Arabidopsis thaliana: one gene and its partner. The protein of the gene in region 2 interacts with the protein of the main gene of each other region in a pairwise test. Each region holds a gene or a part of one and is shown on either strand. Other genes may lie near its edges.

The links. The genes of interacting proteins can lie anywhere in the genome.
Region 1: the proteins of HSFC1 (region 2) and TGA9 interact in a two-hybrid assay, tested with the Arabidopsis thaliana proteins (one large-scale study listed by BioGRID).

The regions. Positions count from the first base shown.
Region 1 is NC_003070.9:2,622,541-2,630,577, reverse strand, and holds the start of TGA9 (bZIP transcription factor family protein), read left to right. Parts: upstream 1-1,983; 5' UTR 1,984-2,295; intron 2,296-2,649; exon of another isoform or gene 2,650-2,757; 5' UTR 2,758-2,847; intron 2,848-2,856; exon of another isoform or gene 2,857-3,070; 5' UTR 3,071-3,126; coding exon 3,127-3,233; intron 3,234-3,709; coding exon 3,710-3,804; intron 3,805-4,305; coding exon 4,306-4,388; exon of another isoform or gene 4,389-4,765; coding exon 4,766-4,975; intron 4,976-5,654; coding exon 5,655-5,693; intron 5,694-5,853; coding exon 5,854-5,913; intron 5,914-6,244; coding exon 6,245-6,322; intron 6,323-6,481; coding exon 6,482-6,530; intron 6,531-6,635; coding exon 6,636-6,907; intron 6,908-7,128; coding exon 7,129-7,350; intron 7,351-8,037. UniProt on the Arabidopsis thaliana protein: Together with TGA10, basic leucine-zipper transcription factor required for anther development, probably via the activation of SPL expression in anthers and via the regulation of genes with functions in early and middle tapetal development.
Region 2 is NC_003074.8:8,939,259-8,943,416, reverse strand, and holds HSFC1 (heat shock transcription factor C1), read right to left. Parts: upstream 2,352-4,158; 5' UTR 1,963-2,351; coding exon 1,735-1,962; intron 1,706-1,734; exon of another isoform or gene 1,651-1,705; coding exon 886-1,650; 3' UTR 543-885; downstream 1-542. UniProt on the Arabidopsis thaliana protein: Transcriptional regulator that specifically binds DNA sequence 5'-AGAAnnTTCT-3' known as heat shock promoter elements (HSE).

The sequences.
Region 1 (8,037 bases), on a different chromosome or scaffold from region 2:
ATATGGGCCTGAAGCAAACCAAATAAGGATGTGGCCCATTTTTACATCATATGACTGTTACCGAATCAGAAAGTCAATGACAATAATGGAAAATATGCAAATTTGACAATTTTCACCCAAGATAATGGTTGTTGAAGAAAATTACACAGGATGAAACATTTAGGCCACGAAGTTTTGAATATTAGGGTTTTGGGCCTCTCGGCTTGTTGGACTTTTTAGATCATGCTAGACCAAAACCGACTACACTATTTTGAGTAAGTAATTCAAAAATCCCAATTCGTTAGAAAACGAGCTTGAGTAGTTGTCCCAAAGTGATTGATCATTGATGTCTACATAATAATATGCATCCTCCATATAAGATTATGGCCGGTATTGGGCTGAGATGGTAATCTAAACATTATTTTGATGCCTTGATGGACAAATTAATATTGAGATTCTATAAAAGCTTAACCGTGAGTTATATACTTCTACCGAACCCAAAAAAAGCATCTAAAGAGCCGTGAAAAATAAATTCTCAATTCGGAGGGGGTCATTATGACACAAACTAAAGGAATAAAGCCATGACAAATGTGGATTTGCAAGAGAGCTGCATTGACTAAAACAGCTATACGAATCAAAGGAGGCATATAACAATTTCTAATAAAGGAAAGGAATCTGAAATGTGGCATTAGGATTTAGGTGATGACAGGGAGTGGATGTTGACCGATCAACAAAATTATAGGATAATACCAAACTAATCAATTTAAATAACACTCGATTGAGATGTTTACAATAATTATTGATAATTTTAATGCTATTTTCTATATTTATTTACGATTAATGCAAGAAGGCCGTTTAATTTTATCTTATTGGTCTACATAATTGTCATTATTCTAAGGCTTTTTTGGTTGAACTGGTAGAGGCAAAATAGTTAATTATTCAATACTTAAGTATGTTAGGTTAACCGACTAGAGAAAGTTGCTCTAGTTCTATTATATCCAAATTTGAAACTTAAAGCCTAAAAGCTGTTAATTTTTGAGAAGAAGAAAAAACTTTCAGAAACTGTTTCACATATTATCACTCTCGGCTTTCAAAAGGTTATAGACTGAAGATGAAACTAAAAAAAAATCTGTAATTATGTATAGTGTGTTACATATAAGTAGACGTATTATATTCATACTATTCTTATCCCTCTCTCTGTCTCAAAGGTCATTTAACAAAAAGAGTTGTAGTTTAGAAATAGAAACTCACTCGATTCTGCTATTTTAATATACATACACAAATCAACAAACATTCCTTATCCCACATTAATGCATTGTCTTTGATTATGAATTTATGATTATGTGTATTAACATTATTTCATCACTATCTCTAGTACTATTCCAATAACAAACTCATTAGATCATCCAAATAATATATATAATTTAGCTTAAACTATAGCTGGGGAGTTGTATTCGATCATTTAGTTATAGTATATATTTGTTTACTAGACTAAAGATATATATATCATTTTTTTTTTGGCAAAAATATAAAGTATATGCTGTATATATCATGCCCATTCAAAGATTCTTGATATAATTCTAGAATTTTCCTGTTAGTTTTCTTTTGGTTTTAGATTAACACACAGACTACTTAGAAAAAATAACTTCATGCATGATCCATGCTGCTAAGATGATAGAGTGAAACCCAATTCTTTTATGCAAATTTCACCACTTTACTTTCACATATACAGATACGTATTTTGATATAGGCATGTACGTGAATACGATGAATAATACTACAGAAAAGATGATAGATTATTGAAAAAATGTGTACGTGAATAAGCCCAAAAAGAGATTTGATGAAAAAGAGCCAATAAGCACAAACAGGCGGTTACAAAGAGAGAGAGAGAGATTGTGGAGTAGGAGTCAGTGATTCTAGTGGGTTCCTCCTCTTTTTCTGCTCTCTTTCTTCTATTTTTATTTTATGGACTAAATTACAAACTCTCATTTAATTTTCTTCTCGCTCAATTTTTTTCTACCTAGAGAAGTCGATAGTTTTCTTAATAATCTACCTCCATTTTCTTGTGATCGGTCCAATTAATCTTATATCCAATCATCTTATTTATCTTCTACATATTGGATAAGGCTCTTTTATTCTTTACCAAAGATAAAGCTCCATTCTTTTTCTTAACAAGGATAAAGCTCTTTTAATTAAGCACTCTTAGACTTTTGATTTTCTGTTTAACTTCTACATTTCAGGTTTGTGTATGAATAGAGATCGTCCACTCCATCTGATCAATTGCCAAGTACTAGCTTCACCCTTGACAGCTATAAAGTTAGTCAACTAAATTTTCAATTTTCTGTACAACTTTTTTGAACCCAATATTATTATTTGGAAAACAAAAAAAAATGCAACACATAAATATAGCCTGGAGACAAAGTCTAGGAAGGACAAGATCTTCGTCTGATTTACCATGAAAAATTATCAATATTTCTTTATTGTTTTCTTCAATAAAATTTTGAAATTTAGCAAGTGGAATTTGTGTTTACTATGGAAATAGATAGAGAAAGGTGGTGAAAAGGAGAGAGTGATGATGAATCACAAAGGTTTCTTCACATACAAGTATAGAGAGAATAGTAATAAAGAGAGAAAGAGTAATGATACTATACATTAGTCAATTACTAATACTTTATTATCATTTCTCTATCCAACTACAAATATATACACGCCCACATAATTTTGTATATGTATCTCGGAAAGAGAAAAGATTGGACCCTCTTTTGTTTTTCTGTTCAGCCATAAAAAAGCCTTTGACGAGAAAGCTTCCATTCTACTTTCTCTCTCTCCTCTTTGTTCTCAAACACCAAAAGCAAAACATCACAAAAGGTAAACACATAGATATCTTACTTTCATGTTCATATCATCAACTAGCTTTTTCTTTTCAAATTCCAATCATTTGATCAACTAATCAAGAATTAATTATAAGACTTTGCAATCTCTCTCCCTCTCCCTCTCCCTAGCTAGTTCTCTCTTGTGTTTCTTAACTCGAGCTTCTCTCAATAGTGATTATCATCTTTTTCATCATTTCAAGATTTAATGTGTTTTGCAGAAAAGAGACTAATCAAGAAGAGATATCATCAATTGAAGCTGTTTTCTTGAGTAGAGATGGCGAACCATAGAATGAGCGAAGCTACAAACCATAACCACAATCATCATCTTCCTTATTCACTTATTCATGGTCTCAACAACAATCATCCATCTTCTGGTTTCATGTAATTAACAAATCTTCCTTCGTCTTTTCTTCTTTACATATACATAAAGCTCAACTTTATTCATATTACATATCTTAATATTGAGCTCTAATTGAATTTTATATGGGTTTTCTTTGTTTATTCTCAATTTGTCATTTTCTTAGTAGTATTATGATATGTTATACGGTTTCATTTATGAGATATGAAATGGTCAACGGAAATCTATAGGTAAAACAGAAACTAAAAAATGTGTTATGGATCATCCGAAATAGGTTTTATATGTGCTTTAGCTTTTGTGTAAACTTTCATTATATGCGACCGTCTTTATTAATCTTCTAACTCAAAATGCGACCCTCTAATCAAGTATTTATATTTTAATTTAATTGTTGTTCCTTTTGGTCTCCAATTTTTCTTGGTTTCTGATTGTATAGTTGTAGTAACACATGATGAATATTCTCTTTGTACTAATTAAACAATACTATTAATAAATGAAACAGTAACCAAGATGGATCGTCCAGTTTCGATTTTGGAGAGCTAGAAGAAGCAATTGTTCTGCAAGGTGTCAAGTATAGGAACGAGGAAGCCAAGCCACGTAAGCCCCCCTCTCTCTCTCAAATCTTCATGACGTGAGCTTTCCTTAACAAACTCCAATAAAGTTTTTAAAATTCTGAGCAAAAAACTGAAACTGGAAAAAACAAAATAAAAAGCTGAGAGTAGTCTGAACAAGTCTTTAGATAGGTTTAGGTGATGATACGGAGGCAAAAGAGAGCCTTGGATGGCGTGACTTGTTTTTCTATTTCTCTTCTCTTTATTTAGAAAATAAGAAAAGAAGAAAATATCTTTTACCAACTCCCTAACTTCCTCTATATCAAAATATTCATAATTATACTATTAGTAAAATGTGTCATGTTATATATAGATTCCACGTGATAAATGATGTAGTTAGTTCTAAGTAGAATATATTGTAGTACTACTTAAATTACATCAAAAACACATATACATGCATGCACACATTTAATAAGTAGCTAGCATACTACATGATTACATATGAACATTACATATCTGATAAATGTAATGATGGGTAAAATTGCAGCTTTATTAGGAGGAGGAGGAGGAGCTACGACTCTGGAGATGTTCCCTTCGTGGCCAATCAGAACTCACCAAACTCTTCCTACTGTACCCTTTCTTCTTCTTTGACCCTTTCCTCTTGTTTTTTTCTCCTTTTTCGGCATTCCTATTTAAACTTAAAACTTATATTTTCATTTTACCCTCACTTTTATATACATGTTTCAGCTTTCTTGTTCCTCTTACTATCTCTTATTTTTGCTTCTTTCAACTCAAAAGCTGATAGCGATTTTAGAGTAGTTAATTACTCCATTCCTTTCTCTTGACTTTATTTTATATTACATAAACTTATAGTACCCCGTTTGTCAAATTATATACGCTAAGGTCAATTCCTCCTTAGTTACATTGATTATCCCTTTTCTGACTTTTTATTAATTATCTTATACGTTAATGATGATGAGTATGATTATGTTGAATATGTATTGCAGGAGAGTTCCAAGTCAGGAGGAGAGAGCAGCGATTCAGGATCGGCTAATTTCTCCGGCAAAGCTGAAAGTCAACAACCGGAGTCTCCTATGAGTAGCAAACATCATCTCATGCTTCAACCTCATCATAATAACATGGCAAACTCAAGTTCAACATCTGGACTTCCTTCCACTTCTCGAACTTTAGCTCCTCCTAAACCTTCGGAAGATAAGGTACTCATCATCATCATCATCATCATCATCATCATCATCACTTTTTAAAATTTAATTTTAGAAAGAGATATATGCATGGTACGTACTTGGAGTCATCATGAAACATGCATGCTTAATTTGGTGCATGTACATGGTATGTATATCATTAGCCTATCTCTCTCTCTCCTTGTCATTTGATAGATATGCATGCACATGCTTTTTCATATATGTCTATGTCCTAACAAATCTTTCCAATAAAACAAAAACATACACAGATCCCAAAAAGGAAACGGATCAGAGAAAATTCAGAATTTTGACCTCTCGAATCGTTGATAAAATAATGAAAACAGACAAATTTAAAATACAAATTATTAAATGAAATCCCCAAAAAGCGGAATAAAGCAGAAGAATCTTCCTAGGTGTTATTATTGTTTTTATAATTTACTTTTTACTACATGATTACATATCCTCATTTCTATGTTTACTTTAACAACACATATATTCCCTAAATGAGTTCATATTGCTTAGATTTAATATTACATTAAAAAAAAGTATTTAATAATGCTGTTTTTTTAATTGTGTGTAAATGGTATTTAAATATTTATCACATGAGTCGACTTCACTCACACAATTTAATTTATGTTTACTTTCTTTCCACTGAATGAATTTCTATTTTCATCTCTGTTCTCTGACATTGCAGAGGAAGGCTACAACTTCAGGCAAACAGCTTGATGCTAAGGTACTTTAACTTTCATCATCATCATTTCCTATACATTTTATTTGACTCCCCCGAGGAGACATATCCATTCCTATATATGTACTTACTTTTTAGTAACCTTTTTTACCTGAATTAATTCGTTAACTTCTTGTTTAAATGTTCTTAAATCTGGATTATGCAGACGTTGAGACGTTTGGCCCAAAATAGAGAAGCTGCTCGCAAAAGCCGTCTTAGGAAAAAGGTATGACCATATAATTGCCTGACTTTTCACCTCAAATTATTATCATTTGTTTTTGTTTTTTTGACCTATTTATATATTCTTTGCTACTTTTTCCAAATGATAATTTGTTGCATAGAATTACAATAATGCTATTGCTACTAGTAAAACATACGCAGTGGTGTCTTTTATTCTTCTTGGAAACCGCTGTTACATGAGCATTTATTTCTTTATCTACCATTTACCAGTCTTCTATAATTCATTTATGAACGTATAAGTTCCGCATTTCTTGTTATTCTATATGTAATGATACTAGTATGAAAATAACAAATGCATATACATATGGTTTGAGCAGGCGTATGTGCAACAGCTAGAATCAAGTAGGATAAAGCTTTCCCAATTGGAGCAAGAACTTCAGCGAGCTCGTTCTCAGGTTGAAATTGAATCATTTATATTCCTATAATCCTATATATTCTGCTAAATCTTTTTTTAAATTTGTCAAAACCTGTCATTTGCTAAGTTTCTCAATTGTTCATTGGTTATTAATAATGTCTGTTTGTTGAAATTAATATATTGTTTATGTCGATGGTAGGGGCTGTTCATGGGTGGTTGTGGACCACCAGGACCTAACATCACTTCCGGTACTTGAAACCTAAAACACCAATTGCAATGTATTATTGTATTAAAATAAGTACAATAATGGTTAAACTATTATTAACAAAATGTTGAAAATCGAATGTACGTAGGAGCTGCAATATTTGACATGGAATATGGGAGATGGCTAGAGGATGATAACCGGCATATGTCGGAGATTCGAACCGGTCTTCAGGCTCATTTATCTGACAATGATTTAAGGTTGATCGTTGACGGTTACATTGCTCATTTTGATGAGATATTCCGATTAAAAGCCGTGGCAGCGAAAGCCGATGTTTTTCACCTCATCATTGGGACATGGATGTCCCCAGCCGAACGTTGTTTTATTTGGATGGCTGGTTTCCGTCCATCCGACCTAATCAAGGTTCGACTTGTTCTTCCTTACTTTACCCCATGATTACAAACGTAAGTTTTAGGTTTTGCGTTTGAAAAACAAAATGATATTCACGTTAGTAAATTACATCAACAAATCTGAAACATTGCTGCAAAATGTAAACAGAAATGAGTATTCTTCGGTTTAATTATTTGCGTGTGATAAAAAAGTTGTGGAATCATGATTAACTAAAGAAAGGGATGTGATCTTAGATATTGGTGTCGCAAATGGATCTATTGACGGAGCAACAACTGATGGGAATATATAGCCTACAACACTCGTCGCAACAAGCAGAGGAGGCTCTCTCGCAAGGCCTCGAACAACTTCAGCAATCTCTCATCGATACTCTCGCCGCATCTCCAGTCATTGACGGAATGCAACAAATGGCTGTCGCTCTCGGAAAGATCTCTAATCTCGAAGGCTTTATCCGCCAGGTTCCATTTTCTCACCTATCTTTTTTTTTTTTTTACTTCATTTGCTCGAACAATAATTACAAACGAATGCAAACGAGAGAAAAAAACACCGTGTGAAATATACACAAAATTTGACCTACTATATAACTGTAGATAGTTTTTGACTAAACAAAATTTGCAACGTATTTTGGTTTATAGTTAGAGAGGAATTCGAATATATTTTTTAGAAATATATTGGGTAAATTTTAACGTTTTATATATATACTAGATGTACAAATGTTTAAAAATGCGGAAATACGTGCATATATTTTGCGTACATATATGAACAAACGTATGTGCTGGCTAAATTATCTAATTGAAAAAAAAACAAATAATCCAGAAACAGACAATACGTGAAAGCAACATTTGATGTTCTATAATAATTATATGTTGTTTTGGTCTTTGATTTAATTATTCCAAGAGCCAAATTTCTTTCACCAACTTGTTTTTACCTTTTATATATAATATAGCTGAAAAAAAGACAAAGAGAATATGTTAAAAGTATTCTCCATCTCTTTCAATGTTTTGTTTTGAACTCAACAAAAATATTTTAAAAAAATTTCTTGTTTTCAAACATTATGATCAAATTGATTGTTATTGATATGTATTGACTTTTGTAATACCCATTAGCCCACCAAGGTAGTAAGTAGGTATGCAATTATAATTATT
Region 2 (4,158 bases):
GTATAACCACGCGTCCTCGTGTGAGAGACATCAGGTGGTCCAATTTAGATTTATCGTTGTTTTATACTCTCTCTCTCTCTAGCCCAATGAGTGTTCGAAACGTTGTTGGCCGACCAAAGTCCCGTGGCTAACTGTCACGTCTCAAAATTTAACAATGTCATGTTATCAATTTTAGATGAAAGTGAAAGTGGAGCGTCGTGTTGATGATACGTTTGAATCTTGAATGGATGTCTCGTTGACTTGTTATCAGTCGACCGACTTGTGTCGCCTTAACCACGTGGGTTATATATAGGCAATGTTTCTTCTACTTTATGATCAGCTTTAAGCATGTGGGTTATATAAGCTAGTAAGTCTATATACCATGTCAACTGATTCGTTAATGTGTTTGAGAACAAGTGTTTCAAGAGAAAGAGTCAAATACTCGATATGGTTTAGTTTAAAGATGGCCATTAACGATAAATTTGAAATGGTATATAGACTTAATTACTAGCTTAAAGTGGAAAAAGTAAAGCCTATATTTTGTTGTTATTACAAAGATATAAGGCTACAATAATACTTTATTCAAAAATCAAAACACTGAAGTAGTGAAGAAGATCAAAATTGTTGTTATTACAAGTGTGAATATATTACACAAGTCACCTGAAAGTACTTTTAAAAGGAAAACAAAGTCAACATATGAACTTTTAACAAATATAATCAGAAATTATATACTGTCAAAACTTTCTACAAACGATGACTACTGACTCAACTATGGATCTGTCCTTATTTTCTTTCTTTCTTTTGGTTATACATAAAATAATTAAGAACAAACACACAAAAAATAAATAATAATAATAATATAACAATAATAAAGTCTAAAGATCATATATCATGTGAAGCTAAACGCTAAAAGCCACCTCGAAACAGAGAAAATGGATAAGGCGGTGTTGTTGGTGGATTTGACTCTACCACTCCTCCAAACGTCGCCGTTTCTTTATACCTTCTTTCTCCCTGAATACTCCCACATCCTCCTCCTCCTCCTCCGTTAACACTCTCCGGCAAAGAAAACGTCGACGTCAAAGATGATGACGTCGACGACGTTGAATTCGAGAGCATCGACTTCGCCACCAAACCCGTCTCGTAACTACCAAACTGTCCTTGCGTCATAGGAACAATCCACCCATCCGGTGAATGATTCCGGTAAAGATTCTCCGTTGATGACGGCGACGGTGTTGATGATGACATAACCCTAAAGACCCTCCCTTCATCTTCTTCCACTTCTTCTTCCTCTGACTTCACCGTCGACATCGTGACACGACGCTTCTTCTTGTCGGAAACTTGTTGTTGTTGCTTTGTCCGTTCTTTCTCGAGCATCATTCTTGGAAGAAGATCAGGATCTTCAACGACTTTGTAAAGAAACGCCATCATCTGCTCCGGTCTCTTCTCCGTCGCTTCGATCCTCCGGTTCATCCTCTGAATCTCTGCCTCTAGCTCCCTCTGCTCTTCTTTTAACCGTTCGATCTCCCTCACAATCTCACCGTCCTCCAAATCTTGACCGTACATCCCCCGCGCGTGTTTCCTACGCGCTATGTTATTCAACAAATGCTTCTGTCCCCTTAGAAAATGCTCGTTCGCAAACTCCCACCGGTCCGGATCCACTTTCCTAAACCCCTAAAGTAAATAAAGAAAGGATCATTAGTTCGTAATCCCCTGTTTCCAGTTTCATGTATGAGTTTCGGTTATGAATTAACTTACATAGGTGTTGAGTTGACGAACAAAACTGCTGAAATTGTTGTGTTTGAAATAAGCAGGTAAGATTCGTTGCGAGAAGTCGAGTGGATCAACGACTATGAAACTGTTGTGAGCAGGTCCCCAAGTGATGAGCCAATCGGTGGAAGGATCATTGACCATCTGATATGTTTTCACGATGAAAGGTGCGATCACGTTGTTGTTGTTGTTGTTGTTACTATTGTCGTCCTCCATCTCTCTCTTTCTCTGTTTTCCTTATGGTTTATATGTTTGTTGTTGGTGGTGGTAAAGAAATTAAAGAGGAGCCTGGAGGGTTTATATAAAGATAGGAAAATGAGATGTGAAAATAGTAAGTTAAGTGTAGTTGACAGTGAGACTATATTGACGTGGCTTGCTTTTTGTGATAACGTGGCGGGTTCGTGTTTTGCCTTTTACGGTGTCACGAGTGAACTGTGGGACCTATGCAGGTGTGCCTCTAAGCTTTCAGGTCTTTTTTGCCCTTTTTGTTTTGTTTATATTTTCTTATGTCACAAGTTATGTGATACATTTGAAATATATGCATATTTAGGCATTGTTTTTTCTTAATTATAATTTTAAGTCATAGATGATTTAAGCTGCTTGACTAATTCTAAGGGTAAGCTAGTCCCAATATAGAAAGCTTAGTCCATCGATTTTTCAACTGGTTTCCGATCCCGAATTAGAAGGATATCTATGATTCATTTGTAATTTCTGCACAAACAAAATTATTTGTCATGATTTCTTTCTAATTCTTGACATGATTTGTTTCTTTCACTTTTTCACAAAAGAACCTCGTCCTCTTCAAAATACTCCAAAACTCTCAAGAGTGAGAGCAACTTATAAAAAAAAAACACATTTGGTGAAACAAACAAATCTTCTACAATGAATAGAGAGGGTATAATTTAATTTATTATATTATAATTTTTCTTTAGTTTACAATTATGTTAAAAAACGTTAGAAGGAACATGCTGTGTATTCAGATTTTAACTTAAAATATCCGACTAATTTAAAATAAAAAATTGCAAACAATAACACTAAATGCCAAGTAAACATGATTTTATAGACAAACTCTTCAATCTGCAAAAGCACTCCTATTTTCTTATACATACATATCCATGGACTCTGGAATAAATAGCCACACAAGTGTTGCTACTTGCAAGAGTTATTATAGGAGTATTATTAAACAATGATTAACATAAACTACTACAAATATAATTGCTAGGTTAAGAATTAAAACCAATAAGTTCCAATAAAAAATCACACGCATCAAAGGCATTACTATTTTATAGTTTAAACCACCACCGAGAAATCCAATAGCAATCTTATATAAAATTTTCCTAATTATTAATTGGATAGATTAATGGGATTAATCTAGACTTAATTAAGGGGACGTGGGTCAAATGCTAACCACATATTACGTATGATATAATAATATAAATAGTTTGAATAAAACAACATTTATAGAATCAAAGCATGGTCCTTAATCCTTGAGAGCCTTGGAGATAATGACCTCCTCGTATAGGCGAGAGTACAGTTCTCCACTTTTCATTTTTTTAATTGTTGTCTCCTCTCTTTGTTTTTCTTAAACTATAATTTACCTTTTCAATCGAATCTTAATTACAACTTTATTTGAACAATATATATATTACTCTCATCGCCAAATGGGATTAGCTATAATCCACAAGCTATAGCTTTTGTTTGTTTAATTACGTACTATCAGTAGTACAATTTCAAAACCTAAGGACAATTTTGATTTTTATGGGATACTTGAAATTATTAGTCAAGATTGATAGGTTTAATTACTTACTACGACAAAATTTTCCAAACTAATATATGTTTTTATTAAAATTAGCGCTTTGTCAACCTACAATTAAATTTATCTATTTCGATTATTATCAGTTACATAAATTGAGAGGACGATAAAAAAGTATTTTGAGACATCTCTTCCCCACCTTATAATTTTTGTTGTCCATAGCGAAATAAAGGAGAACAAGAGATAGTGTAACAGTGAGACGGTGACGTGGTATGCTTTGTAATAACGTGGCAAATTCGTGTTTGCTTTTTACATGCAGGTGCCACAAAGCCTTAGGTCAATTAGCTTTTCTTAGATGGCAAGTTATTAGTCCGAGCCGTTGTGTATTTGTGTGAGATGTTTTCAAGAGACGACGAGCGTGTGGGTGCTTGGATACTGACATGGTCCGCACTGGTTAGTGACGGAGGAACTCAGGAACAAGTACTGATTCGACACGTTGCGTAGAATCTTTTTTGTTGGCGATGCACACTCCACTAATCGAGTATTTTTGTATTTATGGAAAGTTTATTCATTATACGTTGCTTAATTCAGGTATACGACGAACATGATTTTTCATTTTTATTATAGTGTCACACAAATATTATAGGAAACTGATGTCG